Lytechinus pictus: one gene and its partners. The protein of the gene in region 3 purifies or fractionates together with the protein of the main gene of each other region. This does not show direct contact. Links are inferred from orthologs where the notes say so. Each region holds a gene or a part of one and is shown on either strand. Other genes may lie near its edges. The genes, in order: DNA polymerase alpha catalytic subunit-like, SWI/SNF-related matrix-associated actin-dependent regulator of chromatin subfamily A-like protein 1, replication protein A 70 kDa DNA-binding subunit-like and replication factor C subunit 2-like.

Region 1 (6,994 bases), on a different chromosome or scaffold from region 3:
ATAGGCACAATGGTCACGATTATTGACCAATCGGACGTTTTCCCCTATTTTCTTAACTCTTCCTTTTTTCAAACATTTTTTCACACCTTCTTTAAGATGAGCTGGTGAGCCGCCCTGTAATGCATCTTCATTAAACCAAGTTTTTACAAGAGTATTTGAGTTGGTCAAACTACACTTTCCATCAAAACACAATATAATTTTTGTCATGTCATCTTTCTACTTCTCTGCATTTTACTTCTTGTTTTTTTAAATCTTTTTTGTCCAATTTAAAAATAAAGTTATAAGTATTAAATCAAAATTTTAAAGAATCAATGTTTTAAAGAATTAGTACTGACAAATCAATTGTTTTTTGTGGATTCTACGCATGAATATTTTGTGTAAAATTTGTTTTTTATCGTGTTCTCACCCTGGATCTGCCGCCCCTTTCTTTTTCTTTTTTTCACTGAAAATACTGGAAAGAGTTCCATATGCACCCCCCACCAAAAATAACAAAAGATTGTTGAGACTTCCGGTTCGTTCACTTCAGATTTTTCTATCATTTTTTTTACTGTTGCTTACCTTAGTTGGGACTCGAACTCACCTCGTTTGATCTGCAGTCAAGACCTTTCCCGCTATGCTAGCAAGAAGCGCTGATACCGGAAGGGGTATTTTTACGATTATCAGCCGATAGTTCGACTAGTCTTGACTCGCAGACCCTTTACTGACTAAATAAACCGATGTCTATGGACAATTACACGCACAAGATCTTGCTCGAAATTTGACGGAATAAAGCCATATTTTGGTATGTATTTTCACTTCCCCATCATATACATGTATGTTCGATATTAGGGCTAGATATATTATTCTGAACCTTCTCCATGTTTTTATTTTCAATTTTAGTGGGGGGTGCATATGGAACTCTTACCAAAATACTCGTATTCACTTTAAAAACACATTTTGTAGCTCAGTTTTAAAATTGATCTCTCTTTTCAAAGTGTCATCTGGTGTTTTATTCAAAACACTGGAGCGAAGTGAAAGAGCCCGAGCGTGATCAGAATAATGCTCTTTTTCCAGTGCCCTTCTAGCTTCTAGACTTTAACTTGCAATCAAATTTAAACCCAAAAGTCAACTGCCTTCTTTCACCTTCTTTTAGTGGTTGCTCTATTTATCCCTCGATCCTCACTATCCCCGACCCATGCTGATCTGGCCCATCCCTATAGAATTCGCTGACCTTAGGCTTTGTTCTGTCTTTCTCAGACCCGGAGGATGAGGGGAGGGTCAGGTCCATCGATCGCCTTTTGTCCTCGCTTTTGTATCATCTTAATGAGTCATGATTATCAAACCATTAAAACTTCTTTCAAACCTCTTAGCGTTTAACTCTTTTGTCCAGCAGGCGCTCGTTTTATCTTGATACACGCCTGGCACCTCTTTCCAAAACATGTACGCTTTTAAGTACCACCCTTGATCATGGATTTCTTGCTCAATTACTTTATTCAAATTCAATTTTTTGGTTTGAATCGTCCGAACAGTGCAGTGATCATGAATTGAACTTAAGCACACGTCATAAATTGCGTAATTTCATTGCCGAAATCACGTGATGAATGACCAATAATTAGTGAATGCATGTGTCGCTAGGGGGCGGAGCTTTATGCAGAGGGAAAATTGACGTCTAAATTAAGCTTTCCCAAACCTCGCTCGTTTTATAAACCAAAAAAAAAAATAGATCTAGATCTACTCGCAGAGAAACTGTTTTTCTGCACTTTCACTTGGCTTTGTCTTTGACTTGATCTAGGGCCTATCCCTTTTGCTAAATTACAGACCATTCTTGAACTTGAAACACGGTAGAGAGGGCCAAGATCCACAATATGAAGAAATCGAAATTTTCAAAACGTTCAAGTACTTTTTTGTACTTTGCCATTATTTATATCAACTTCTCACCACGCGACTTGTGTCTAGTTTCGAGAAGTCACATTTTTGATCACCCGATTAAAAGTGGTTGTCAAAACCACTTACAAATACAATTACATTTCATGTAACTAACCTATTAAAGACGTGAAGTGGTTTAAATCATTGAAAGACCACTTCAACCATTCATGTACAATACTAGACCAAAAGCTTCGGTCTCTGTTATGTTGGTTGTTCAGCTGAACTCCGTTGGCTTCACCCACCAAATACAGAGACCGAAGTTCTAGCGCGATCTGTACAGGGGACTCAATGGCCATATGTTTATGTACTTAAGATCGGATAAAACGGGGAAGTGAATTTGCGCGATAGCCGAGGTAAGTCACTATTTTTGTTCCTTTTAACTTGATTTTTCTCCGTTTTTTGGCAATTGATGCCAAGAGGGAATGTTAATTTGCATTTTGGTCGCGTGAATTTTCAAAATTTGTACTCATTAAAGACAAAAATTGAAGAGCCCCGACGGGGGGATTTTGCATTGCAAGTCCCCTAATGGTGGCTGCACGCTAGCGAGCCGTCTCACGTCTGTGTATGACAGTATGAGGAGAAATTAAAAAAAAAAAAATGTTAAAAAACTCCTCGAAACAGACGGCTGCCAGCTGTCTAGTACAATACATGTTTAACTAGTTTCCAGAAAACTAGATGAGTTACTACTAGTTAGTTTTACTAAGGACGGTAACGTTATGTTACTTGTTAGTGAGAACGGAGAGCGTCAATGACAAAAAAGGAGGCTTCAAAATTTTTAAAGTGTCCGGACACTCGACCCCCATCCTAACTTTTTTTACCATTTTCTCTGTCATCCATCACTGGTGCCATCCTCTGGATCTAGATCTAAATCAGCAGCAAATCAGCAGCCAGGTAAGGGGAGCGTGTGGGTAAATTGTGTCAGTCGTGAAGCATCGAATCTGCCCAGGCCCAAGTGAAGCCGAGGAAACACAAGCCTGTACTGTAGACCGGGCACCGTCGAAAGATCAGGCGGACGGACTGCCGTGATAAAATAGTGCCACTTCGCTCACCGTACCGGCGCTTCCGTCCCCGTACTTGGGGATCGACATGAACAATGGCGCGCCAGAAAAACAAACTCCGCGCGAAATTTGATTTAGACTGGTCCATTTTGTTAGATGGGTAAATATCATATTGCAAATCTAAAACTAATTTACACGAAATCCTTAAAATGGTTTAAATGTATCAGAAAAATTCAAGGATACATATTTTATTATTATTTTAAGGTTTTATCATAAGCTTATGTAAAATAGAATTGGGAATATAGATTTGAATAAAGTATTCTTTATCAGCTTTCCATTCATAATAAGTGAACTCGTCCACAACAATCTCTCTAAAATTTATAATTAATATATTTTAAAAGTTTTGAGTTATTATTTTGTTTCAATTCCTAAGTGTAGATAAATAAAATAAATATATTCAAATCATATATTTTTACCTTTTAGTTGATGATTTTATATGCATATTTAAAAAAAAATAAGTTTTTAAATGAATTAAAACAATTAAAATTGGCCTCAACTTAATCCACGTACCCGCACCCTCAGCTCGGATCCGGAGCAAGGACCAGGCTCGGGTAAATATTTTTTAAGTTGATAAAATACGTTTTGCTTTCTTTTTAGGTTTATTCAAGTATATTCCGGGGGTTTATGTCCCGAACCCTTCCCTAGTGCTGATTCAGGAAAAATCATTTACAATTATTCATGGAATTACTAATGCTTTTCCTCGCCGGAAATCCTGCCAGAGCCAGAAGCAGAGGTCCAGGCAGTGCAGAGGCAGAGCCGGGCCGAGGCAGCCGGCAGAGGGGTAACCCAGGGAACTCCCCCCCGCGCAGCGGGCGGGAGCCCAGGGGCTTACCGTGTATTTGACCATACTCACAGGACTAGCGTGATTTATGGTCTAAATATTTCTCCAAATGAATTGTGAAAACAGAAATTATGCACTTACCACGATTATATGGATGAAGGTCAAACGAGTACGAGTCAGTAGAGTACTAGAGACTAGAGTCTAGACTAAAAAATAGAGAGTAGAGTAGAGCCTAGATAGGCACGCTCACGCATCACAAGAGGGCGCTTTTTCGCGAGCTCCGTTCGCTGTACAAAAATTGCGACCGGCGGCGGCAGCGTGACGAAGCGAAATTGAGCTCCAGAGCCATGGCATGGCGTTCTTCAATCCACTCATACATGTATATATCGAATGCTAGAAAAATGATTTAGACACCATATGGCTGTGTGACGTATAGACTTACCATCTGACTCATCGGCACTTCCAGCGAACCAACGAACGACGATCGAGAGGCCTGGAAAATCACTTGTAAGTACCAAATTTGCCTGATTTTGTAGAAATCTTGACTTTTATGAATAATTATATTACTTGCACACTGATGCATCATGATTCATGATGAAGATGAAATTCTAAGCTTTAATTTAACACCGAAATTACGTGGGAAGAACTTAGCGGATGAAAGCGATTCAGCTTGATGCACAGGCCTGTTGCAGGCAAAATTGTCGCGATTTAGCGCCTTCGCGCTCTTGAATTTCGCGGGGGGGATTTGGCGTCTGCTTCATCTGCCCTGCACAGTCCCGCGTATCGCTTTCAGTGTGCACATTTGCACTCACTTATTACGTAGGTAATATTATTTTCTTCATTAGTTAGTCATGGACCAATTTAACATTTTATTCACTTTAAAAATTTGTTATATTACAATGAACTAGATGCATAACAAAGCACACAACCTATTATTTCCTGTTCATTATGAATCATGATGGATTTACATCTTATTCTCAGACTTTTGTTTTTACTTGTTTTCACTGTCTTCAGTTTATTTTTTATTTTTAGATCATGTATTGATATCGGAATATGGTATGATTTTTTAAATTTTTTTTCCTTTTATGAATATTTGATCTATTATAGACTTGGGGAAATCGATTATTTTACACACTCAGTGTTTCTATTTGTAAACTAATAAATTGTAAAATGCTACATTTTTTTTCAGAAATAAATTGGTGAAAGGGGGGGGGGGGGAGGTGCTCCGTTCTATATTATGATTTTTTTCCTTTAAATCTCTATGAAAATCACATGTATTTTTATTTTCAAAGCCCTTATTGACAATCTTTTTTACTATGATTTGATTTATTTTCTTTTATTATTATTTTTGTTTCCTTCAGGTTTCGTAATCTATTCCTGAAAACGCTAAATCGAGTCCATTATCAACTCATCATCCGCATGTCTGGCGACTGGCGAGAAAATTTCCAGGCCGATTGTGAACATCAGTCCAGGCCAAGGATGAAGCCATGAACGACCATATCTGGCTAATGCCACATGACAAGATCTCTATGCTGGATTACAGCTAGCATATGACTAGCTTGAGAAATTTAAATATTCAAGAAAGAAACATAAGATTCTTATCTATTATTTTTTTATTATTTAGAGTTCTGTTTTGTTTGAATTTTTCGTTCTATTTTTCATGTTTTGTTCTCGCAAAATTCTTGGAAAAAAATGATTTCTGTGTCATGTACTCCTAACAATTTCAGCACCATTATTGCACATATTTTTTTCTGCACTGCACTGGGAAAGGGGAGGGGGGGAGTAATTTTTCTTCCAGTATTTTATCATGAGGTGTCATGATTTTTATCTTAATGGCACTTACGTTCTCAGGAATTTTTCTTCATATATGAACTGTGGTCGAAAATCTGAATTATGGAATTGTAATAACTATTATTCAATTGTTTAAAGGGTTTTTTCAGCAAGGTTGCATCATTATTTTGCCTTCCAGATATTATTATTTGGCTTTAATATAAGATCATGGCCAAAATGTCAGAAGAGGTGGATCATCTGCTCCAGCTACCAGCTGATAGGATTACTAATGGAGTTGTCATTGATCTACTGCCAAAACTCACAAGAGGAGAGGGAATTACATGGTCACAATTTCATGAAATAGTTCAAAACAAATATGACTCTGAATGTTCTTTAAAGGCCCTTCAGACCAAGTTAACAAGGATCTATGGAAGGTACATGAAACTAAACAAAACAAAACAAACTAAAGACCAAAATGATGTGAAGGTCAACTATCTGCAAGAACCTTTCGAGCCCCCAGGAAAAATTGTTCAACCTCCAAAGAATGCTAAAGTAGACCAAGATCACGATGCTGCTAGTCCTAAAAAGAGAAAAGTCTATTCAAATGATCAAGTAGAAAATTTAGGAAAAGAACTTGAGAGATTCAAGGACATAGTACAAAAAACAGAGAGGGAAGTAATGACTTACAAGAAGAAAGTGAAGCACCTTGAGAAGGAACTGAAAAAGAATAAAGAAAAGGTTCAGTCTTTCACATCTATATTTGGCAGTGTAAGAGGTGGAAGAAAACGGATTACCGAAACAATAAAGCGACTTAAACAATCTAAAAGGGAATGGAGGATAAACTACCAAATGACAAAGAGTGAAGAAAAACGGAAGACAATTGAAATTACGAGACTTCGAGCACAATTGCAAGAAGAAAAGAGAAGACGTCAAAGAATTCAAAAGAAATACACAGAGCAAGAAAAAATCAAGGTCGCCCAGAAGCAACAGGAGATTGAACAACTCAAAGAAACTGTTGAAAATCTTCAAGATGAAAAAAACAAGTCCCATCATCCTCAACAAATCCAAACCAAGATTGGTCAGTCCTACACCCCTCAGATAAGAGAAGCATCCTACTATTTACAGGTTGGCTTTGAATCAAGTTGATTTATAAAAAATAAAGTGATAGGAATTAAGTCATATAATGTTCATAATAGTAATTTCAAAACTCCCCTTGTGACATTTTTAATATGTAAAACAGGTAATTGATCAGATACATGATTGTTTCCTGTGATACAGTACTGGAAACTGATCACAAAGACCCAATTTCATAGAATATTGTAATATGGTAAACTTTGCCATTCCGGGGTAACTTGTCTGGAATCTTTGATTTTGATTGGTTGGTGATTAGCATTACCATGGGATGGCAAAATTACCATTATATTAGCTTGTATGCAAAGTTGCCCTGGTCTATGATATAAAAATTACCTACTTCAATTGT
Region 2 (7,261 bases), on a different chromosome or scaffold from region 3:
ACATGGCTGGTTACAGGCATTAAACAATAGCAATGTCAGTAAAAGAAAATTGCAAGAAAACGATCAGTCATTCTTTCAGTTGTGAAAGTTTGTGTGGCATGAATATCCATTAAACGATAAAAGAAAACTTAAAGTCAAATACCACTCTAAAAGTGAAGAGAAAGTTATCCACCTTGGATGCATCACTATTCCACTGGAATTTTAAGTCAAAGTTAGTCGATAAAAAAAAGGGTCAAATTTCAGTATCTTGGCATAAGCAAAAGAAAATTATCCTTATCCTATCTTCTGCAGGGTTGGTGGCCCTAGGTCGACCACTCCTAGGGCGGTCTCTAACTTCAGTAGCCAAATACCGCTGGTTCAAATTTGAAATTGTTGTTGGTGAAACTTGGAAATATCGAGCCACTTGTCTAAATGACTGCCCAGACTGCAACATTTCTATTGCTCTTGCACACTCTTGGTTGGAAAGCTTCATCTTGAAAGTGAGTGTCCAAATGATCCATCTCATTTTGCATCTTATGATGCATCCCTAAGCATTCAATTCAAATGATAACCACCTGTTGAAATTGTTGAATGTATGCCTACAGGATGGCCATGATCATTAGCCATTTCTTGCAATTTTCTTTTACTGACATTGCTATTGTATTGTTTAAAGCATTTAACCACCCATGCATGACTGTTCACATGAAAATGTCATGTCATACTGGAAGAGGAATATTGTCTGGTCATGTTAACTGACAATAATTTGCCTTTAATCATATCTATATGGAATATTTTAACTTTTATAAGTGTTCAAGAACTTTTTTTGTCGAGTGTACTAACAGTTTTTTCGTACCTTCATACGCATTAGGCGTATGAAGGTGTATACAAAGATAAATAAAATCCAACAAATTTACGTGATTTCTAGCTTTAATTATGGACTTCCTAGGGAAATCCATCCGTGTTTACATGTCGATATGTCCCGCTTAGCCTTAGGCAAGTATGGGCATGATGGGGAGGGTATCCGAGGGTTTCAAGGCTTCGTGATCATGTAAAAGTATATCATATGTAAAAATATTTTTAAATATCATCACGGAGTCCTCAAGCCTCAAGGCCACGCTGCGCCTCAAGCCAAGGCTCTAAAACTTGTTAGTCTACTGTCTGATGCCACATCACATGCCCACAAACAATCACAAAATTTTGGCAAGCCAATGCACCACAAATAACCCCAATTAATGCACAATTCAAATCAATTCACAACAGTTTTCTCAAGTTTTCTCAAGCTTTAATGCCTGGTTACAGGCATTAAACAATAGCAATGTCAGTAAAAGAAAATTGCAAGAAAACGATCAGTCATTCTTTCAGTTGTGAAAGTTTGTGTGGCATGAATATCCATTAAACGATAAAAGAAAACTTAAAGTCAAATACCACTCTAAAAGTGAAGAGAAAGTTATCCACCTTGGATGCATCACTATTCCACTGGAATTTTAAGTCAAAGTTAGTCGATAAAAAAAAGGGTCAAATTTCAGTATCTTGGCATAAGCAAAAGAAAATTATCCTTATCCTATCTTCTGCAGGGTTGGTGGCCCTAGGTCGACCACTCCTAGGGCGGTCTCTAACTTCAGTAGCCAAATACCGCTGGTTCAAATTTGAAATTGTTGTTGGTGAAACTTGGAAATATCGAGCCACTTGTCTAAATGACTGCCCAGACTGCAACATTTCTATTGCTCTTGCACACTCTTGGTTGGAAAGCTTCATCTTGAAAGTGAGTGTCCAAATGATCCATCTCATTTTGCATCTTATGATGCATCCCTAAGCATTCAATTCAAATGATAACCACCTGTTGAAATTGTTGAATGTATGCCTACAGGATGGCCATGATCATTAGCCATTTCTTGCAATTTTCTTTTACTGACATTGCTATTGTATTGTTTAAAGCATTTAACCACCCATGCATGACTGTTCACATGAAAATGTCATGTCATACTGGAAGAGGAATATTGTCTGGTCATGTTAACTGACAATAATTTGCCTTTAATCATATCTATATGGAATATTTTAACTTTTATAAGTGTCCAAGAACTTTTTTTGTCGAGTGTACTAACAGTTTTTTCGTACCTTCATACGCATTAGGCGTATGAAGGTGTATACAAAGATAAATAAAATCCAACAAATTTACGTGATTTCTAGCTTTAATTATGGACTTCCTAGGGAAATCCATCCGTGTTTACATGTCGATATGTCCCGCTTAGCCTTAGGCAAGTATGGGCATGATGGGGAGGGTATCCGAGGGTTTCAAGGCTTCGTGATCATGTAAAAGTATATCATATGTAAAAATATTTTTAAATATCATCACGGAGTCCTCAAGCCTCAAGGCCACGCTGCGCCTCAAGCCAAGGCTCTAAAACTTGTTAGTCTACTGTCTGATGCCACATCACATGCCCACAAACAATCACAAAATTTTGGCAAGCCAATGCACCACAAATAACCCCAATTAATGCACAATTCAAATCAATTCACAACAGTTTTCTCAAGCTAGAAAAAAAAAACAGTAAAATTAAGAACTAATAAATCTATGTTTCTGAGACAGACCGAATTTCAATGCACCACCTCCTAAACTTTAGTTAGCTCCTCTGACCTCAAATAGGACAGCTCGCCTCAGCTCAGACTCAGATAACGCCGATACCCGTGTCCAATGGCAATGGGAGCGCGGTGGACGTTGGAAGCGCCCCAAGCTCACCCGTATACTCCAGGGTGTCATTCTCGCTGTCAGCCCACAAACTCATCCGGGGCCAGGCGGCGCATCAGCTGCCTGCAGGTTCGTATTTATTATCTCTGAATTGAACGATCTCATTTACTTAGCTATACTACTTACCCGTAAATTCGTCTCTTGTCTTCAAGATGATATCAATCTGTTGATTGCTTCATTTAAACTGTCATCAGGGACCGACCAGAGCCGTTTGAACTGCAAACTGGAATTCTGCCAAACCTTAGCTAGCAGTCGACGTAAATGACCGTGCGTGGTAATCCAATCACATCCCGTGTACTGTTAACTTCTTCTGTGTGTACTCTTCCGTAAGCCAATCAAATTTTTGGTTACATATACTTCAAACAAGCATTGCGCTGGTGATTCTATAGTCTGCAGGCACAGACCCCAATTGAAACTGATTTTTAAAAAGTGAATCTTCACACATCGACTAGCAATTAATTAGCACAAATGTCCGGGGGCAGTCAAATGTATTGCTGTACACGTACACATGCGTGAAATTATTTCCAACACCCCCTAAACGAGTTTTTTCTCTGTGTGCAAAATAACCCCCTAATTTGGATTTAGACCTAAAAACATGACTGTCTATTACTAGTATTTGAAAAGGATGTGAATCTTTCTACAATAATAATGGGAACGAGAATGATGGGGGGGGGAGAAATCTTTTAATATTTTGCTTTGAAACTGGGTTATTTAAGCACGAATTATATAAAGAACAGGCTGCGTAGCTTTGACAAAGGAACGGGACATCTGGCCAAGGGAACAGGATTAAGAATTCATAAAAAAGGATCATATCTCATAACAGGCCTAATGAGAGCGCGAAATTTGTTGATACAGTGTATAAGGCCTGAAAACTATATAAATGTATATATAAATATATAAATATATATATATAGAAAGGGATCTTTATACACGAAGAGAATATATACCTGTTGGTATAGGTCTACTTCAAAAATCAAATAATGCGAGCACGCAGCGCGAGCTGAAAAATTGTGATATTCAGACCAATTATAAAACGATACATTTTACATGAGAGCACTTTAAAAAAAATCAATTTGTAAAGCAAACAAAATCATAATGAAAGCTCGATCGATGTCCTAGCTGAAATTCGTTTTGTATATTGACTTAAAGGTCAAGTCCACCCCAGAAAAATGTTGATTTGAAAAAATAGAGAAAAATCAAACTAGCATAACGCAGAAAATTTCATCAAAATCGGATGTAAAATAAGAAGGCTATGACATTTTAAAGTTTCACTTATTTTTCACAAAACAGTGATATGCACAACTCAGTGACATGCAAATGAGACGGTCTATAATAATGTCCGTCACTCACTATTTCTTTTGTTTTTCATTGTTTGAATACAATATTTCATTTTTTACAGATTTGACAATAGGGACCAACTTGACTGAATCATATAGTTTAAGCAATGCTATTTCATGTTCATGGATGAATCAATCGTTATGTTTCACTTGACAATGAGGAGAAAATTAGAATATTTCATATTTCATGTAGTAAAATAAGAAATAGGTGAGTGGATGACGTCATCAGTCTCCTCATTTGCATACCGACCAGGATGTGCTTATAACTGTTTTGTGATCGAAATTAAGCAAAACTTTGAAATGTCATAACTTTTTCTTTTTTTTTCACTCCGATTTTGATGAAGTTTTCAGTGTTTTGCTTGTTGGATTTTTCTCTTTTTATTCAAATCAACTTTTTGTTGGGTTGGATCGACTTGTCCTTTAAAAACTGGATATTTTAAGCACTATTTCAGTCGATTGAGCAAGATATATGTAGGCTATATCATCAAACAGGCAATGCAAGCGCGAAGCGAGAGCGATTTTTTTTTTCAATTCTAAAATCTGCACTCACATTACTTAATTCACTCGCCTTCTTCCTTTTATTTTCCCCTCCATCTTTTTTCCTCAAGTTTTCCTTCTTTTTATTTTTCCCACCTAGCTTTCTTCCCCCTTTGTTTTTTTCTCTTTTTTGCGCCGCCAATGGGGGGGGGGGGGTTCTTGGGGTCCCTGGATTCGCCCATGTATGACTGTGATGCGGCGGGGTCTGAACCATTTTTGAAGAGGGTGCTGCTTTGGGGAAAAAAAGCAAAATGAAGGTGTTTTGGGTCATCCCCCCGGAAAAACCCAGGTTATTTATTGTTCCAAAATGAAAGTGATTTTTGGTCAAACGACGTCTACATGCAGCATAACAACTTGATTTCCAAGGGATGCTGCGTATGTCGTATAGTACCCCTGGAAATTAAGTTATGCTAAACTTCAGAGTCGCTGATGAGCCTAATTAGGGTGAAACAGTCTGTACGACTAGCTTAGTTAAGCAATCCAACCAATAAATTAGTTATGCTAAACTATACATTTATACCAAGTGTTTAAAATCTTAAACAACAAAGTTTAAATTCAAATATTTAATAATCAATAATTTAAGCATGTTTTTTTTAACTTATAAAAATGCAGTTTAAACAACTATTGTGCGATTCACATAGTAAACGTTGTTTAAATTATCTTTAACAGTATATAATAATAATAATATAGGGTATTTATATTGCGCACATATCCACCTTGTTAGGTGCTCAAGGCGCTCCTATATTAATCGGCTAAGCTAGGCGTTCATAGCGCACACAGCTTTTTAAGGAATAACTTCCTACCGGTACCCATTTACCTCACCTGGGTTGAGTGCAGCACACTGTGGATCAGTTTCTTGCTGAAGGAAATTACGCCATGGCTGGGATTCGAACCCACGACCCTCTGTTTCAAAGTCCGAAGACTAATCCACTGGGCCACAACGCTCCACGTGATAGCCTATAAGCCTATTATAATACTATATACTCAGCTTAAAATTACAATGAACGTATAATCAGCTCTGTATACATACATCTTTCATCTGTGGGTACGTTGCAGATAATTCGGGCAGATGTCTGTGGCGGCTTTAAAGGTCAAGTCCACCCCAGAAAACAGTAGATTTAAATAAATAGAGAAACATCAAACATGAATAACACTGAAAACTTCATCAAAATCGGATGTAAAATAAGAAAATTATGAAATTTTAAAGTTTCGCTTATTTTTCACAAAACAGTTCTGTGCTCAACTCAGTGATATACTGAGAGAGTCGATGATGTCACCCACTCACTATTTCTTTTGTTATTTATTGTTTGAATTATACAATATTTCAATTTTTACGAATTTGACAATTAGGACCTCCTTGCCTGAACCACAAAATGTTAAAATAATGGAGATCCACGTGTCCAGGGAGGAATGAAACTTCGTTTCACATGACAATGATGAGAAAATCAAACTATTTCATATTTCATATAATAAAATACAAAAGAAATAATGAGTGGGTGATATGTCATCAGTCCCCTCATTTGCATACCGAACAGGATGTGCATATAACTGTTTTGTGAAATTAAGTGAAACTTTAAAATATCATAACTTTCTTATTTTACATCCGATTTTGATGAAATTTTCAGTGTTGTGCTTGTTTGAATTTTCTCTTTCTATTCAAATCAGCTTTTTGTTGGGGTGAACTTGTCCTTTAAAAAATGGCAATCCACAGGTAAATGACGAATCAGTTGAATCGAATAGAAATTATTGAACCTCATGGCATCAACCAATATTCTGTTCATTGAAAAACGGACAAAATACAAAAACATGTGTACCATTTTCATTAACATGAGTTTTGAGGAAAAGAAAAAGTAACAAAAGTACAGGGGCGGATCCAGCTTCCGCCAATAGGGGGGGGGGGCGAAAAGTTTGTTTCACCGGCCATATTTTCCCCTATCGGCCGCTCAAAGTTGATTTTTGTTTGTTTCTTTGAAGGGGCCGGTTGTCCCAGTGGCGTAATGAGCCAAAAAAAATTGAGGGGGCTCGATACGGTGTATCGCTTAAAATTAAGAACTTGCGAGAGAGTGAAGCAAGCGAGCAAAAAATTCGACATTCTAATTAGAAAAATCAGTTTGTGATAGATTTTTACATAACACTTGGAAAATAATAGGCCTATATTTCACCATTATCCCTTTCCTTTTCTCTTTTTTTTCTTGGTCGTGAAAAATTGGAGGGGGGGGGCAAAACGCCCATGTCATAACAGTCATTTCTTAGCTTTATTCTTATAAAACAACATAAAAGTGTAATAATCTCATAAGCCCTATTTAATTAGTGCGAGCGCGATATGAAACTTGTCGATATTTTTCTGAAAAAGGAACAATTTAGTTATTTAGGAATTCATGAAAATTTTATTATCATATTTATTAATGTAATAAGCCTAATGGCTTCTATACCTCTGTGCTAAGAAAAATTCACACAGAAAAATTGGAACTCCTCTTGTTATATCACCATCATGGGATTAATTTAGTGAGTGAGTGAAATTTGTTGACAGTGAGGCCTGAAAACCGGATATAAGCACTTTTGTAAATATGAATAGGATTCATGAGTTGATATTTTGTAAATACTAATGCAAGCGCAAATCGCGAAACGAAATTTTTGATAAACTGTCAGAAAAGGGGGATTT
Region 3 (7,471 bases):
GTTGGTGCAAAATTTGCCACAGATGCTGTTTTTTCTTGATATGCAACTGGTTTCTTTAAACTTGAACCATCTTTACCTGTGCATGTATGCTCTCCATCTGAGAGCATAAGACGATAACGATCCACAGCTTTACCACTGGATGCTGCATTCATCTTCTTACAAGCCTGCATGAAATCAAATACCAAATAATCTATCTGGAAATTTGTGGTTTGTGTTGCCATGACAAATTTACTTTCACACATAAGGGCTTATTCTTAATTGGAATATTAACTATTAATGCATTCCCGTGTGGGTTACAAAATAACTGAGCAAAATTTAATATCAATCATTTGTTTAAAAAAAACACCTTTACATGAGTAAAAAAAAAGTTTTACTCATGTGTCCTTAGGCTTATATATCTTTTAAAATAGCATCATACCATCATCTCGTCACTAATAATTATTCTATTCATTTGAATTCACCGCACCTCAACAATAAAAAGTTTCTGGTGAGGATATGTGCATAAACATCTGAAACACTCTAGTGAAGATGAATATAAATTAACCCACCTATCCTGTTTATATGCAGAAGATCAAAATAAGATATTTACCTCAATATTAGAGAATACGAATCAGGCGAAAGTGCATGACAATCTTTCTAAGATACAATATAATTTACAGATTTAGCAGTTGGTCTGTGTGCAATTGCCGAATTGCATGTGAACTTTATGTTTACTCCAATTGTATGTTGCAGGATTTTCATTATTTTCTCATGAACCTGTTGTAATATCACCATCTATACTTACCAGAAGCTGTAATACAGGGCAACTGACAACTTTTTCTTGGAAAATGGCCTAAAAAGAAATAGAAAAAGTAAAGAAAGATGAAAAACAATTATGGTATGGGGTCTTAGAGCTATGTAGGTCCTAAAAGCTCTGCACCACTAATTTTCAATGGCAAAATGCGCACTCTATAGATCTGTAACTGGAGTGATGAATTATTCCTATCCATATTTCCTGCCGAGGCTGCAATAAATCCCAAAATGCAAAAAAAAGCAACTGAAGTTATGTACACTTTAATTATTTTCATATGGTACAATAATATGAACATATTTTGGAAGTTGAGGCACAGGAAATCCACTAATTTTTGCATGGTAAATCAAGTGCGTAGATTTAGGACCCCTTCAAAATTGCGCGGGGATATCGAAAGAGGTGTTCGGAAAATACTTATAGGAAATTCATTAGTAACTTTTTTCATACACTGTACCATTTCTCTTGGATGATTTTTAGAATATTTACCACACATAATATACTTTAAAAATTTGTTCAAATATCTTCAAATTGTGAGTTTCTATTGTTTGCAAACAAAGTTGGTAGCTTTAAGTCCCCCATACACTAAACACATTCAGATCAAGATTCAATTTTAGTATGATTAGGAGACATGTACATAGCCCATTTTAAAACCCCTCAAAGAAGTTCCGCACCTCAAGATTGAGACATACCTTCTTTTTTGTTTATACTGAAACTGAACTATGAAAAGTAAATCACTTTCTTTATTATGATTTGCCATCTGATGTGATTATGTGATCATGGAATGTGGAGTTACACTGAATATAGGACAAAGTTAAATTTTGCAAAATACATAATTTTCTAACTGGGTCATGTGGTAAGAGCATTGGACTCATGATTGCAAGGTTGTGAGTGTGAATCCCTTTGAATAAAAATGCCAAAGAGTAATTTGTGTTGTCTATAAAGAAGGTCAGCCACTAGTGACTATTACTAGTATTATACTAATTATTTATAATCACGTATTAAATTTTAGTATTTGTGAAATAAAAATTTTTATCTATAAATTGTTCTTCAAAACGGCATCGCTAATCGGATGTACGTCATAACGAAGCGGTTCAAGGGTCAGGCTGTATTGTATTTGCTTTATTGACAAACGGATCGAGGGATCTACAGGAGATCGGTCTGGTAAGAAACGTCTCATTTTTACCATTTATAGTGAAATAATTTTTATCCCTTTATACGCATTAGGGCAGGCGCATGAAAATAAAATTCATGTAAATAAAATTCACCCCTACAAACCGATTTCACCTGTGTTTACATGTGTAAACAACAACTACATGTGTCTCTTATACATATCCATATGGCCGGCGGTTAGGTTCAAGGCTCCATGATGAAGAAGTATATGTCAAAATATTAAAAAAACATCATCATGGAGTCCTCAACTTCAGGCTATGCGCAGACATGGGACACCATTTTTTTGTTCAATCTGAAAATGACTGCCGAAGGTTTTTTCCAAGAAAATCGTACAGTCATAGGGGTCTGGATCTATTTCTTTCAAATTTTTATGAGATATTTGGCACATGCACTTACTCATAACAACATATAAGGAACATTATCAAATGAAAGACTTTGCGAAATAAAAGGAAATTCATGTTAAATCTTAACTCAAATCTTTAGCATGGTTAGGCATGTAGTTTCATAGGCGCGCAGACTTGGGGACCACCAATTAATTTAGAATGTTACTTAGTGAAGAAAAGTGTAACAAGTTAGTTATGCATGCCGAACAAAAACAAAACAGAGACTGAAGCTTTTGATTTAACGTTAGGCTCAAACTTGACTCTTGATATTGAAAAATAATCAAAGAGACGAGAGTCAATGTGTTTCAGGAACTTGAGGAAGCATAAGCCATAACAATTAACATGATTTAGCAGCCGAGTCAGTCTCAGTATCAACAACAAACACTGGGTGACTGGCAGTGAACGACACCATGGATGGGCATCGACTTACCGCAATGGCTCCTCTGGTTAGCAAATTATTCATTTTCTTTATGAATTAATGTGAGCAAAAGTGGAGAATTTGTGTTTCTTTGACGAATGCTCAAACTATCTCAGGCTTCTGCACAGGTCAACATACGCATTTATTTGTTCCTATATACCAAGTATACGTGCACGGCCGTACGGGCTAAGCGCTCGCTCGAACTCAACTTCGAATCTCTCCCGCCAAGTGGCGCGAACGTGCACAGCTGATAGAAGCTAGTGTAGATTGTATGAGGCCACGCAGTACAACAGACCATTCGATCTCAACATCCACAAGCAATTCTCACAGTCAATAAGGAAAGAAAGGATCAATTACAGATTAGAATTTATCGGCCCATCTCATTGTTAAATGTAGGCTATACAATTTTGGCGAAGGTACTATCAACAAATTCCAAGGTGTTTTTACTTAAAATAAATTGAAATATTGGCCGGGAAGCAATTATTACAGACTTATAAAATGATCTTTCACACAACAAAAAGTGACATATCGGCAAATCTATTGTCCATCGATTGACTAGTGCAGGATCCTCTTAAGATTCGGAGCTGGCGAAAATAAGGTCAAGCCAAAGAGATAGTAATTTAAATTTAGAGATTTTCAATTTAAGGGTAGAATAATTTCCTTGCAAGTCATCACATAAAAAATGATGCTCTCTATGAGAACTACGGAAAATGCACACCAGGCATTTTAAAAACTTGAGGAGAGCAATATTACAAAAAAGGACACAACATATTTCTAAGACCATGCATACGGATCTATTCTCATTCTGAACAGCAGACTCAAAGAATTTCGGTTAAATATTGATTGATTGCATTGCATTGCATTTATTCTTTTTGTTTATTTCCAAAAATTACAAATAATGCAAAATATAAAATGCAGAAAATAAAACAGGGAATCCACTGCATGGAAACAGCCTGTTTATGTCTTTTACATATATACGAACTATTTATATGTAAAATGACAACAGATTATTTTGTGTTCTTTTGCAGTAAAGAAGAATAAACCTATACCTAAATCTATATATGGAAACATGGAGGAGATGGAAAGAGTGTGGGAACAAGCTAAAAGGCCGCTCCACGTAATTGGTGTGGACTCGGATCGAGGAGATGCCCAATTGTTGAATCGCATACTAGTTAAAGGACAAGTCCACTCCAACAAAAAGTTTATTTGAATAAAAAGAGAAAAATCAAACTAGCATAACACTGAAAACTTCATCAAAATCGGATGGAAAATAAGAAAGTTATGACATTTTAAAGTTTCGCTTATTTTCACAAGACAATCCTGGCCGGTATGCAAATGAGGAGACTGATGACGTCATCCACTCACTTTTACTTTTGTATTATATTATCTGAAATATGAAATATTCTAATTTTCTCCTTGTTGTCAAGTGAAACAACGATTAATTCCTCCCTGAACATGTGGAATTAACATTGTTTAATATTATACAGTGCGTCCCAGAAAAAACGAAACCGAGATTTAGCGATGATTTATCATAACTTAATCATAAATGAAATAGACAAATGACCTACCAATTTAAAGCTTAGAATCTCCTCTTTCATCTGGTCAGCGGCGTAACAGGGGTCGGTGGCCAGGGGGGGCAAGAGCCAAAAATTTCCCGGTCATATCATGGAACAGACAATGGCATCATAAGGCAAAAATTTTGAGGGGGCGATATGGCGTATCGGGCAAATATATATATACATGTATATATAAGCGAGCGAGCGAAGCGAGCGAGCAAAAATTTTGACATCTTTATTGCAAAAATCAAATTTTGTGATAGATTTTGACATAATGTTAAAAAGATATCATATTTCACCCTCCTCTTTTCTCTTTTTTTGTACGCCACGGTGAACAGGATTTTTGTTATGATTGTGAGCATCAGGGCAAAGCTCTATGCTCGAGGGGGCCGAGTATGGCGCTTCTGGCAAGAAGTAGCTTAATATAGGTCCCGAGCGAGCGAAGCGAGCGAGATTAAAAAAAATCACCTTTTCATGAGAATCTAATGAAGATAGATTTTAACGTGATATTCAGAAAAATATAATACACTTTCCTTTCTTTCCTCATATTTTTGTTTGGTTGTAGAACTTTTGGGGGCCATGGTCCAAACTCATCCATATAACAGTGCTTTATGGGTGGGGTCCAGGGCAGAGCCCCGGAACCTCTTGATATCAAAGCCATTTTAAACCTTACAGATGGCCACTTATTTTAATCAAATTGCGTGTATATTTATATAGCTTTAACACAACACATAAATTCAATGCAGTTGTGTATCGTAATCATCCAAATATTGTGAGGGGCACACCATAGCAAATGTGGGAAAATTTGTAAAAAGTCGCCAGCGAGCGAAGCGAGCCAGAAAAAAAATGGCCTGTTAAAATGAAATTCTAATTATGTGATAGATTTTTACATCATTAAAGAAAATATCATGTCATATATTTGTTTTCATTCATCTCATTTCGCTGCCTCCTTTATTTTCTTTTATTTCCCCTTGGCTGTGGAACAACCCCCCGGTACGCCAGTGCTTCAACGTAAAGCTTAATGCAGGAAGGGTCCATATAGGGGCCCGTTATAGAACCCATTAAAGGTTACAGAGGAAGAGCCCCCACTGCACGGGGTCTTGACTCTTGGACAGAGCCTTTGGAGATTTAGCAAGTTTATGATAGACTTTCATACGAAACTATGCTATATAACCATCCATTTTCTTCCCGCTCGTTATCTCAATCCTCGGCAGCCCGGTAGTGTACGTTATATTGTCCCTTTTGTTTGCCTTTTTGTCATCTTTAATTTATTTCCGTCTTACTAATCATGCTAATGTATTTGTATATCGGGGCGAATTGTTCTTTCTCACTTGTTCTTTTTTCCTTCCTTTTCCCGTTATCTTTCCGTTTTCCCTTTTTTATGTTTTTTTAGTTTTCTTTTCCCCTTTCCTTTCCCTTTCCCCTTTTTTCTTTCCTTTCCCTTTCCCTTTCTTCCCCCTTTTTTTTCTTTTTCCCGTTTTTTTTTTATTTTCCCGGTGAGCTCCGCCAGGGGGGGCAGCTTGCCCCCCCTGCCCCCCCGCCTGTTACGCCACTGCGTCTGGTATTACTTAGATTATTCCTCATTCCCGCATGATTGAGCAAAAACAATTCGAAGAAAGGATGCCAAAAACTCATTTGGCGGGGGGTATCTGAATTTCAAAAAGAAAATCACATGACTAAAAAGTTCAATATCTTCTCTTTTCTTTGATACCTAAATCACAGAAAATGGTCAAGTAGTAACAAAGTTATGATCCCTCGAAACAATGCTTGTATTTCCATAATTTCATTAAATAAACGTGTTTTCACCGGTTTCCCACTGAAGCTATCGCACGGTAACAAAAGACTTAATGCATGGCTGATCGTCAACAAAACGGAGTGTCGAGTGAGTGTGAACTCTAGCCTGTAAAACCTCTTCATTTTATGAAATTATTGAAATTCAAGCCTTATTTCAAATAACCAGAACTTTTTTATTTCTTGACCATTTTCTGTAATTGAGGTATCAAATTAAAGAGCAGATATTGAACTTTTTAAAAATGTGGTTTTCTTTTTAAAACCCAGATACGGCCCGCCAAGTGACTTTTTGGTATCCCCATTTCAAATTGTTTTTGCTCACTCATGCGTGAATGAAAAATAATCTAAGTAACTTCAGATGAAAGATGAGATTCTAAGCTTTAAAATGGTAGGTCATTTGTCTATTGTATTTGCGATTAAGTTATGATAAATCATCGATAAATCTCGGTTTCGTTTTTTGTGGGACGCACTGTATGGTTCAGTCAAGTTGGTCCTTATTGTCAAATCTGTAAAAAATGAAATAATTGTATAATTCAAACAATAAAAAACAAAAGAAAAAGTGAGTGATGGACATCATCGACTGACTCATGTTTGCATGTCACTGAGTTGTGCATATCACTGTTCTGTGAAAAATAAGCGCAACTTTAAAATGTCATAACTTTCTTATTTTACATCCGATTTTGAGAAAATTTTCAGTGTTACGCTAGTTTGATTTTTCTCTATTTATTGAAATCAACATTTTTCTGGGGTGGACTTGACCTTTAAGTATACAGTTTGTAAAAATGAGCCAAAAAAAATCAGTGAGGGGGCCAGAAATGGCCTATCAGGCAAAATTTATGTAAAGTTGTGAGCGAGCAAAGCGAGCAAGCAAAAATGTCGCCTTATTACAAAAATCTAATTTTGTGATAGATTATGACGTAATACTCAGAAAATAATCACATTTCACCCTTCTTTCTTTAATTTCTTTCCTTTTTTTCTTGGTGTTGAATTATTTTATAATACTTTATTTTATTATTATTATTTTTTTGGTGGGGGGGGGGGCAAACTCCCCAAGGCCCCCCATCTGTCCGCCACTGTTAATAGAACACTCGATGAAGCAACAACGACCCTTATCCAGATTAAAGAGAAAATACAAGAAAAGATAGGCTAGAAGAAAGGGAATTTGCTGAACACCTTAGAAAATGTGACAAATGAGACAGAGTATAGTTAAGATATAAAGAGCTATCAGGCATATCAAAGCATGATAGAGTATGCATATTATAATAGAGGGAGGTAGGGGGAGCAGCCCTGATAAGGTCAAAGGAAGGGAATGGGGTAAGGGTTGACTTGACTTAAATAATGCAGCGTTCAGAATATTATCAAT
Region 4 (6,890 bases), about 16 Mb from region 3:
CCTGGTACATCACAAAAACTGCCTAAACCCGATGAAACAACCAATTTGAAATCTTTTGAAAATTGAGACTCACTTCTGTAATGCTTTCTGAATAACAGGCTGACCACAATCACAGTGCCTCTGCAGTAGGTCTAGGATCTGGCCTCCATGATAGCCCTGTGTCTGGATTTGTTGAGCTAGTGATAATAGGGCTGGGAACAGGGACTGGAATGGCTCCAGGGTGTGTTGTATATGACCTACAGTCAGGTTAGGGTCTGCTAAAATCTTTGTAAGAAAAAAAAAAATATATATATATATATATATATATATATAACAAAACAAATTACAGTCATTTATCAAATCCACTCTACTTAACAAAGAACATGGAAAGTATAAAATATGAAGACATCAATAGTAATTAATTATTCAAAAACACAAATCATAAGTTGTGTGAAGAAATGAAATTTCCTGACAATTACTCTTATTCCAGACAGCTGAAGATTCTGAAAATTTTCAAAAATTTCCTGAAAGTTCCCAGCCCTTTTCAATATCATTAAAACTAAATGGTTTAAAACCAATTGAGTAGTAAACCACAGTGACAATTAGATCATATGCAAATTAAATTAAATTGTTAGTAGACCATGTGGGTTTAGCCATTCTAAAAATTAGACCATAAGAATTAGACTATTTGGTATACTTAGACTAAGTGGATATCAAGCAATAATACCTACATCCTGTTCCAGGTCTAATAGAGCTTTTCTGTATGGTTCCAGGACCTTGTCTAAACCTGAACAGAATGTCCTGAGATACAATCCATCAGGGAGTCTATCCACTGGCTTAATTTCTGAAAAGAGACAAGAACATTTCACATTAAGTGTGACCAATCTTACTATTTGCTCATATTCATGATTTATTAAAACAAAGGAAACCAAACTTCATGACTGTTTGTGAGAGAATTTATTTTAGTAATTATTTTATATAAGTTGCAGAACAATAATGTTCAGTGTTGATTCGACTGAACAATAGCATATATAGTTCCCAATTTAATGCTAATGAGATGTATTGTAGGAGATTACTTACCTTATTTTTCTAATACACCTAATACTAAACACTGCCAAAAAGGACAACTTGTTAGTTGAAAGAAATCTTTCTATTTAAAGAATTTTCTAAAGGTTTCATTATTAATATTTATGCCCAGCTATTTCTGTTTATCTCGGGTCCCCTTCCCTATCTAATATAATAAAAATTCCCTGAAACAAATCAACTTTCTAACTGAAAGATTGATTTCTGAAAAGATCTATTGTATCTAATAATACTTAATAGGAGCTTTTATGGAATGGAACAAACTCCCTCTCACAATAAGACAATCCACAACAATCGAGTCCTTTAAGAAGTCCCTTAAAACTCTTTTGTTCTAGGCAACTGCCTTCATTTAATATGTCATTCTGCTTTTTTGTTTGTATAAATATGTTAACTGAAATTGTGAGCGCTTTGGGCCATGTGGGAAAAGCGCGTTATAAATATTGAGTATTATTATTATTATTACTATTATTATGAGATTGAATGCACAATCCAATGATTGCTATTTTGTTCTCTATTGCTAACAAGATCAAACTGGGAGGAAGTATAATTTTCTCACAGAGGGGTGTGCCAAGTCTACAAACTGAATTTCAATGTAGGTCAAAGCATAACAGCACCTCAAAATAGAAAAAAAATCCTTCTGTCTTGTATAAGTTTACCTTGATTATGTTTCCCTAAGTAAGGACTGCCACTGTATCTTTTGATGAAGGTCTGGAGATTCTTATAAATAGCCCCTAAACGACAAACTCTGTTGAGTACACTGACTTCACTCACATGGATAAAAGGAAGATCTGGAACAACCTAGAGGCAAAATAAAGAAATATGATAATAAACACAGATACATGCCTTGAGATTCAAGTATGCTTTCCAAAATTTCTTGGGCCTCTGCCTCTGATATATCCTGGATCCACTCCTGGTCAAGATTACAATGTTAGTTTAGATTATACCGTTTGTTTATGAACAAATCACGTACTGCTGGCTTCATTTAAGGTGTGAAGGTTTTTCTAATTTCTTCTTTAATTTATTGTTCCAAAAAAATAATGTTTTCCAAAGATTGCCATAATTGAGGATGAACTGCAAGGTCTTTTTTCAAAGTATTTTATTCTGTTGGTGCCCTTATTTCATCAAATAATAAGAGGATTGTGCAAATGATGAATTTTGACAAAGTTAAAATTTTGCCGATGGGCTGAATTAAAACTGTGAATTTCATTAGCCCCACCATGTATCTCATCTCTATGGTCCAATCCAATCTCATTGAAACCACTGACCAAGCAATTTTTATTCATTTTCTTATTTCAATAAAAAAAAATCAATGATTTTTTACTACTCTCAATGCACAGTTTATTCAGTCTTAATTAAACCAATTTCAGGCAAACATTACTTACTTTATGAATAATAATAAAATACAACATTTATATAATGCTTAATACAATGTTTCTAAGTACTGCAAACTATCACTTACTTGCTCACTTCTTTTCCACATAAAAGGGTGGTGGGTAACGTTATATTATTGCACAGGATTTTAAATAGAGTTTACAATCGGATCAAAAATTGCAATACAATAATCTTAATTTGATTAACTCAAAGAATCATGGAAGAAGAAAAATTGAAGAAGAGGAAGAAGTAGATAGAGAAAGAGGAGAAAGAATAAGAAATAGAAGGAATAGAAGGGGAGGAGCAGGAGGAGGAAGAAGAGAAAAAAAAGAGAAGAGGAGAAGAAGAGGAAAGTGAGAACAAGCAGGAGGGGGGAGCAGGGGAAGAAGAAGACAAAGACTTTTTCAAAGAGGATGAGGAGAAGGAAGAGGAAGACAGAGAGGACACCTGAGGAAGAGGAGGAAGATTAAGAGCAGAGAAGAAAAGAAAGAAGAAGACAGCGGAGAAGTAAGAGAACAGGAAGACGAGGAAGAAGAGGGAGACAAAAAGGATGAGTAGGCTGTAGGAGGAAGATGAAGAGGGACACCTGAGGAAGAGGAGGAAGAGCTAAAGGAAGAGGAAAAAGGAGGAAGACCGAAGACAATGCCAAGCCCAAGGGGAAGAATCACTAGAGGGGAGGAGAAGAAAAACAAAATGAGGAAGTGAAGAAGGAGAAGAACAAGAACAAGAATATTTACCACAAGACAGTTCCAACCTTTCATTTTCAATTTCATTTCGACGTAGGCCTAGGCCTAGATCATCTATCTAAAACAGGAAGCAAAGCACCTAAAAAAATAAAAGTAAAACCTACCAGCACCTTTCACTTGTCACTCATCACATTCACAAGCTGTGCTTTCTTAGTTGCTACCTCTTTTGCTTTGTTCAAGTTCTTAAAATGTATTGATGCTTTATTTATCATTGGAAATAAATGTACTTCATTCATTCATTCGTTCGTTCATTCATTCATTCATTCATTCGAAATTAGCTTAACATCAATTGGAATGAATGGGACTGGAGTCTAATTACCTGTATATCACTGTGCCCATGTTCCATAAAAATACCCCCAGGAAATCCATTCAGAGCCATCAGTAAGTCATGTAACATCTTGGTTGCAATCTAGATGATCGAATCGAAGAGAAAAATCATGGATACAGACTTCTGCAGAGTCGGAATTGAATATTTATCAGGCCCGTTTCACATTAGGTTAATGAATTGTCTGCAGATAGAGTCTATTGCCTACTAGAAGAAGTTGTTCTTTGAATAATTTATATTGATTTATAAAGATGTATGATGATTCTTTGTTCCTTTAAAATAATTTATAGTTGTAGAATTTATTTTATTTTCGTCTTGCAGTTTAATTTTTATTATTTATTTTCATATTTTATTTTAAAGTACCTAATAAAATCTACTTTTTAGTACGAGCCTGTATTTCACAATCGCGCGAAACTTGTGTGGAGCTACTGTTATCTCTTAATATCATAAACGTTTTTATTAGTTAAAAATAAATTAAAGTACATATTAAAATGGATGAAGTAAAATCTAGCACTTCTTTGGATCCTAAATCCAAGTCAGGAGAATCTGGAAAGTCGGGGGGAGCTGGAAAATCGACTTCCTATGAGATGCCTTGGTAAGTGACTTAGCCTTCGCCCTTGGTCCCATTAGCTATAAAATTTGTTGGTAGAAATTCTAGAATTATTTGGGTCCAGGCCCAGGGGCCTGGGGCCTGTTGCATGAAAGGGTCTTTCGTAGAACCATTCTACGTAAGAACGAGATATCGCTCAACTGTTTCACAAAGCCGATTTGGGCGATACGAAGAATGGTCCTTGGAAAGACACCTCCAGACATGTCCTACGTAGGCATGATCTTCTTTGCACACCGCCCGCCACCGTCTGCATTGAGAGAAAATGCGTTTATGGCAAGCCACACTGACATATCACCTTTAAACATTTTTGGCGCCAAGTTATTATATGGGGGACTAGTTGTCATCAATTTTAGGTCGTCTGTTTGCACGGCAAGACGACCAAAAACAGATGTCATTTTAACTTCTCCGGGCATTATGTCCGGGGGTAATGTTGTAGGCCCAAATATTTTTATAAATATTTTTCCTTTTAAGTTTTATTCTCCGTCCTATCCCCACACCATTTCCATTAATTTTTTTTTTGAAATATCGAAATGGGTGGCACTATCTCTCTGACCCTCATGCTTTCTCATTATAGATAATTAAACAACATGAAAACAAATTTCTTTAAAATAAATTATGTAGGCCTAAGGTAAAAACGTGTTTATAACGTTTAGCAAAAAAAACACGATACAAAACTAAAATGTTAAACATGGTAAATCATTCATTTATTTTTATTTCATTTTCATTATAATTATTTTTTTTTGCTGAGATTAATTTTAATCAATAAAAATTAATTGTCGGATTTGGGCTAACTGGAGATGTGAAACAGTGAAACAAAACAAAAAATCTGCAGTAACAAAATAGCTCATTGAATTTAAGATACAGATTAGGCCTATAGCTTACGAATCCATCACAATTATTACAAATGAAGATAAGCTAGTTCATTAAAGAAAAGATTATGGAAAGTCCATACAAAGAGGCGCATTTTAAATCGTAGGGTAGGCCCTTTTCGGCCCCTATGCAATGTTAAAGCAATAATGTAGTCTCTATACTCCTCAACTTTGAAATGTTGAACATATATATTTTTTATATTCTTAAACCTTATATTCTTATATAAGCTTCCATAAATTAAGTGATCGACTTTAAAGATGACCAACGTTTATGATCATTGTAATATTTAGCATTATTTCTGTAAATAGTATTTTTTCCATTGCGGATTGCACACCGTTTTCTATGTTTTAATTGTTATTGCAAAGCACTACTTTATCCACTTGGACATGTTTGCATATTTTCCTTGTCTTCTGTTACTCATCATGCAACTGGTATGTTTATACCCTAAACACTCATATTTGTATTTCTTGCGTTATATCTGACAAATAAAATAAATAAATTAGATTTTTCACAGGCAGCCTCTCATATTTTCCATTTTAGTCTCATACAATCAGACACTGTTGATTTTGTTTACTCCATTCAAACCCTATTTTTACCTCAACAGATAACTTATTCACGCATAATTTGCAAAATCATCATTATATATATGTATTCAATAAAAAATCAGTATATTGAACTAATAAAATGTCGAAATTACTTAGTTAAATCAATTTTTATGTCGGACAAGGGTCTGTTTCGTTTAAATATCAATGAAAGGTGTCTCTAAAAGGACACTGTGTTCTAAATAAAGAAAATAATGAAAATTTCGATTTTATCCAGTTATGTTTGTGAATCTTGAAAGTTTTTTCTGTTTTTGCCTCATAAAGTACGCTCCATACATCAATTCTACAATCGGTAATAAATAAAACATTATTTGATCCCCTTTTATTGAAATATATGATTTTATGAAAAGCCGTCATTCCAAAATAAAAGGTTCAGGTGACGATGAAGACTAAATATTTTTCCGATACTATCGATATCAAACGATGTCACGGACTTGAAAGACAAAATAATTGCATTCGTGAAACGGAAAGCGCTGATTTGTCGCCAATCTTCCTATCTCGGAAGAATGGTCCTAGGACGTTCCTACGTATCGCTCATCTCGTCATGCAACATGCCCCTGTTTCACGAAGGCAATTTTGTCTTTCAAGTCCGCGACATCGTTTGATATCGATAGTATCGGAAAAATATTTAGTCTTCATCGTCACCTGAACCTTTTATTTCGGATTGATGACTTTTCATAAAATCATATATTTCAATAAAAGGGGATCAAATAATGTTTTATTTATTACTGATTGTAGAATTGATGTATGGAGCGTACTTTATGAGGTAAAAAGAGAAAAAACTTTCAAGATTCACAAACATAACTGGATAAAATCGAAATTTTCATTATTTCACTTATTTAGAACACGGTGTCCTTTTAGAGACACCTTTCATTGATATTTCTACGAAAGAGACCCTTGTCCGACATAAAAATTGATTTAACTAAGTAATTTCGACATTTTATTAGTTCAATATACTGATTTATTATAGAAAACATATATATAATGATGATTTTGCAAATTATGCGTTAATATGTTATCTGTTGAGGTAAAAATAGGGTTTGAATGGAGTAAACAAAATCAACAGTGTCTGATTGTATGAGACTAAAAAGGAAAATATGAGAGGCTGCATGTGAAAAATCTAATTTATTTATTTTATTTGTCAGATATAACGCAAGAAATACAAATGTGAGTGTTTAGAGTATAAACATACCTCAGTTGCATGATGAGTAACCGAAGACAAGGAAAATATGAAAATTGCTGCAAACATGTCCAAGTGGATAAAGTAGTGCTTTGCAATAACAATTAAAACATAGAAAAATGTG

What was found.
Region 1: the proteins of replication protein A 70 kDa DNA-binding subunit-like (region 3) and DNA polymerase alpha catalytic subunit-like purify together in Homo sapiens (affinity purification with mass spectrometry; 3 studies listed by BioGRID and IntAct, with this or other methods). This does not show direct contact. The link is inferred for Lytechinus pictus from reciprocal best matches to the Homo sapiens genes RPA1 and POLA1.
Region 2: the proteins of replication protein A 70 kDa DNA-binding subunit-like (region 3) and SWI/SNF-related matrix-associated actin-dependent regulator of chromatin subfamily A-like protein 1 purify together in Homo sapiens (affinity purification with mass spectrometry; 8 studies listed by BioGRID and IntAct, with this or other methods). This does not show direct contact. The link is inferred for Lytechinus pictus from reciprocal best matches to the Homo sapiens genes RPA1 and SMARCAL1.
Region 4: the proteins of replication protein A 70 kDa DNA-binding subunit-like (region 3) and replication factor C subunit 2-like purify together in Homo sapiens (affinity purification with mass spectrometry, with the first as the bait; 3 studies listed by BioGRID). This does not show direct contact. The link is inferred for Lytechinus pictus from reciprocal best matches to the Homo sapiens genes RPA1 and RFC2.

What each region holds. Positions count from the first base shown.
Region 1 is NC_087260.1:5,130,458-5,137,451, reverse strand, and holds the start of DNA polymerase alpha catalytic subunit-like, read right to left. Parts: upstream 3,017-6,994; 5' UTR 2,755-3,016; coding exon 2,724-2,754; intron 1-2,723. UniProt on the Homo sapiens protein: Catalytic subunit of the DNA polymerase alpha complex (also known as the alpha DNA polymerase-primase complex) which plays an essential role in the initiation of DNA synthesis.
Region 2 is NC_087257.1:19,978,686-19,985,946, reverse strand, and holds the start of SWI/SNF-related matrix-associated actin-dependent regulator of chromatin subfamily A-like protein 1, read right to left. Parts: upstream 3,024-7,261; 5' UTR 2,852-3,023; intron 1-2,851. UniProt on the Homo sapiens protein: ATP-dependent annealing helicase that binds selectively to fork DNA relative to ssDNA or dsDNA and catalyzes the rewinding of the stably unwound DNA. Rewinds single-stranded DNA bubbles that are stably bound by replication protein A (RPA).
Region 3 is NC_087246.1:17,170,300-17,177,770, reverse strand, and holds the start of replication protein A 70 kDa DNA-binding subunit-like, read right to left. Parts: upstream 3,014-7,471; 5' UTR 2,807-3,013; coding exon 2,774-2,806; intron 833-2,773; coding exon 785-832; intron 165-784; coding exon 77-164; intron 1-76. UniProt on the Homo sapiens protein: As part of the heterotrimeric replication protein A complex (RPA/RP-A), binds and stabilizes single-stranded DNA intermediates that form during DNA replication or upon DNA stress.
Region 4 is NC_087246.1:1,561,178-1,568,067, forward strand, and holds the start of replication factor C subunit 2-like, read left to right. Parts: upstream 1-3,879; 5' UTR 3,880-3,995; coding exon 3,996-4,099; intron 4,100-6,890. Other genes in the region: gamma-tubulin complex component 4-like, read right to left, coding at 74-264, 711-823, 1,719-1,860, 3,499-3,576.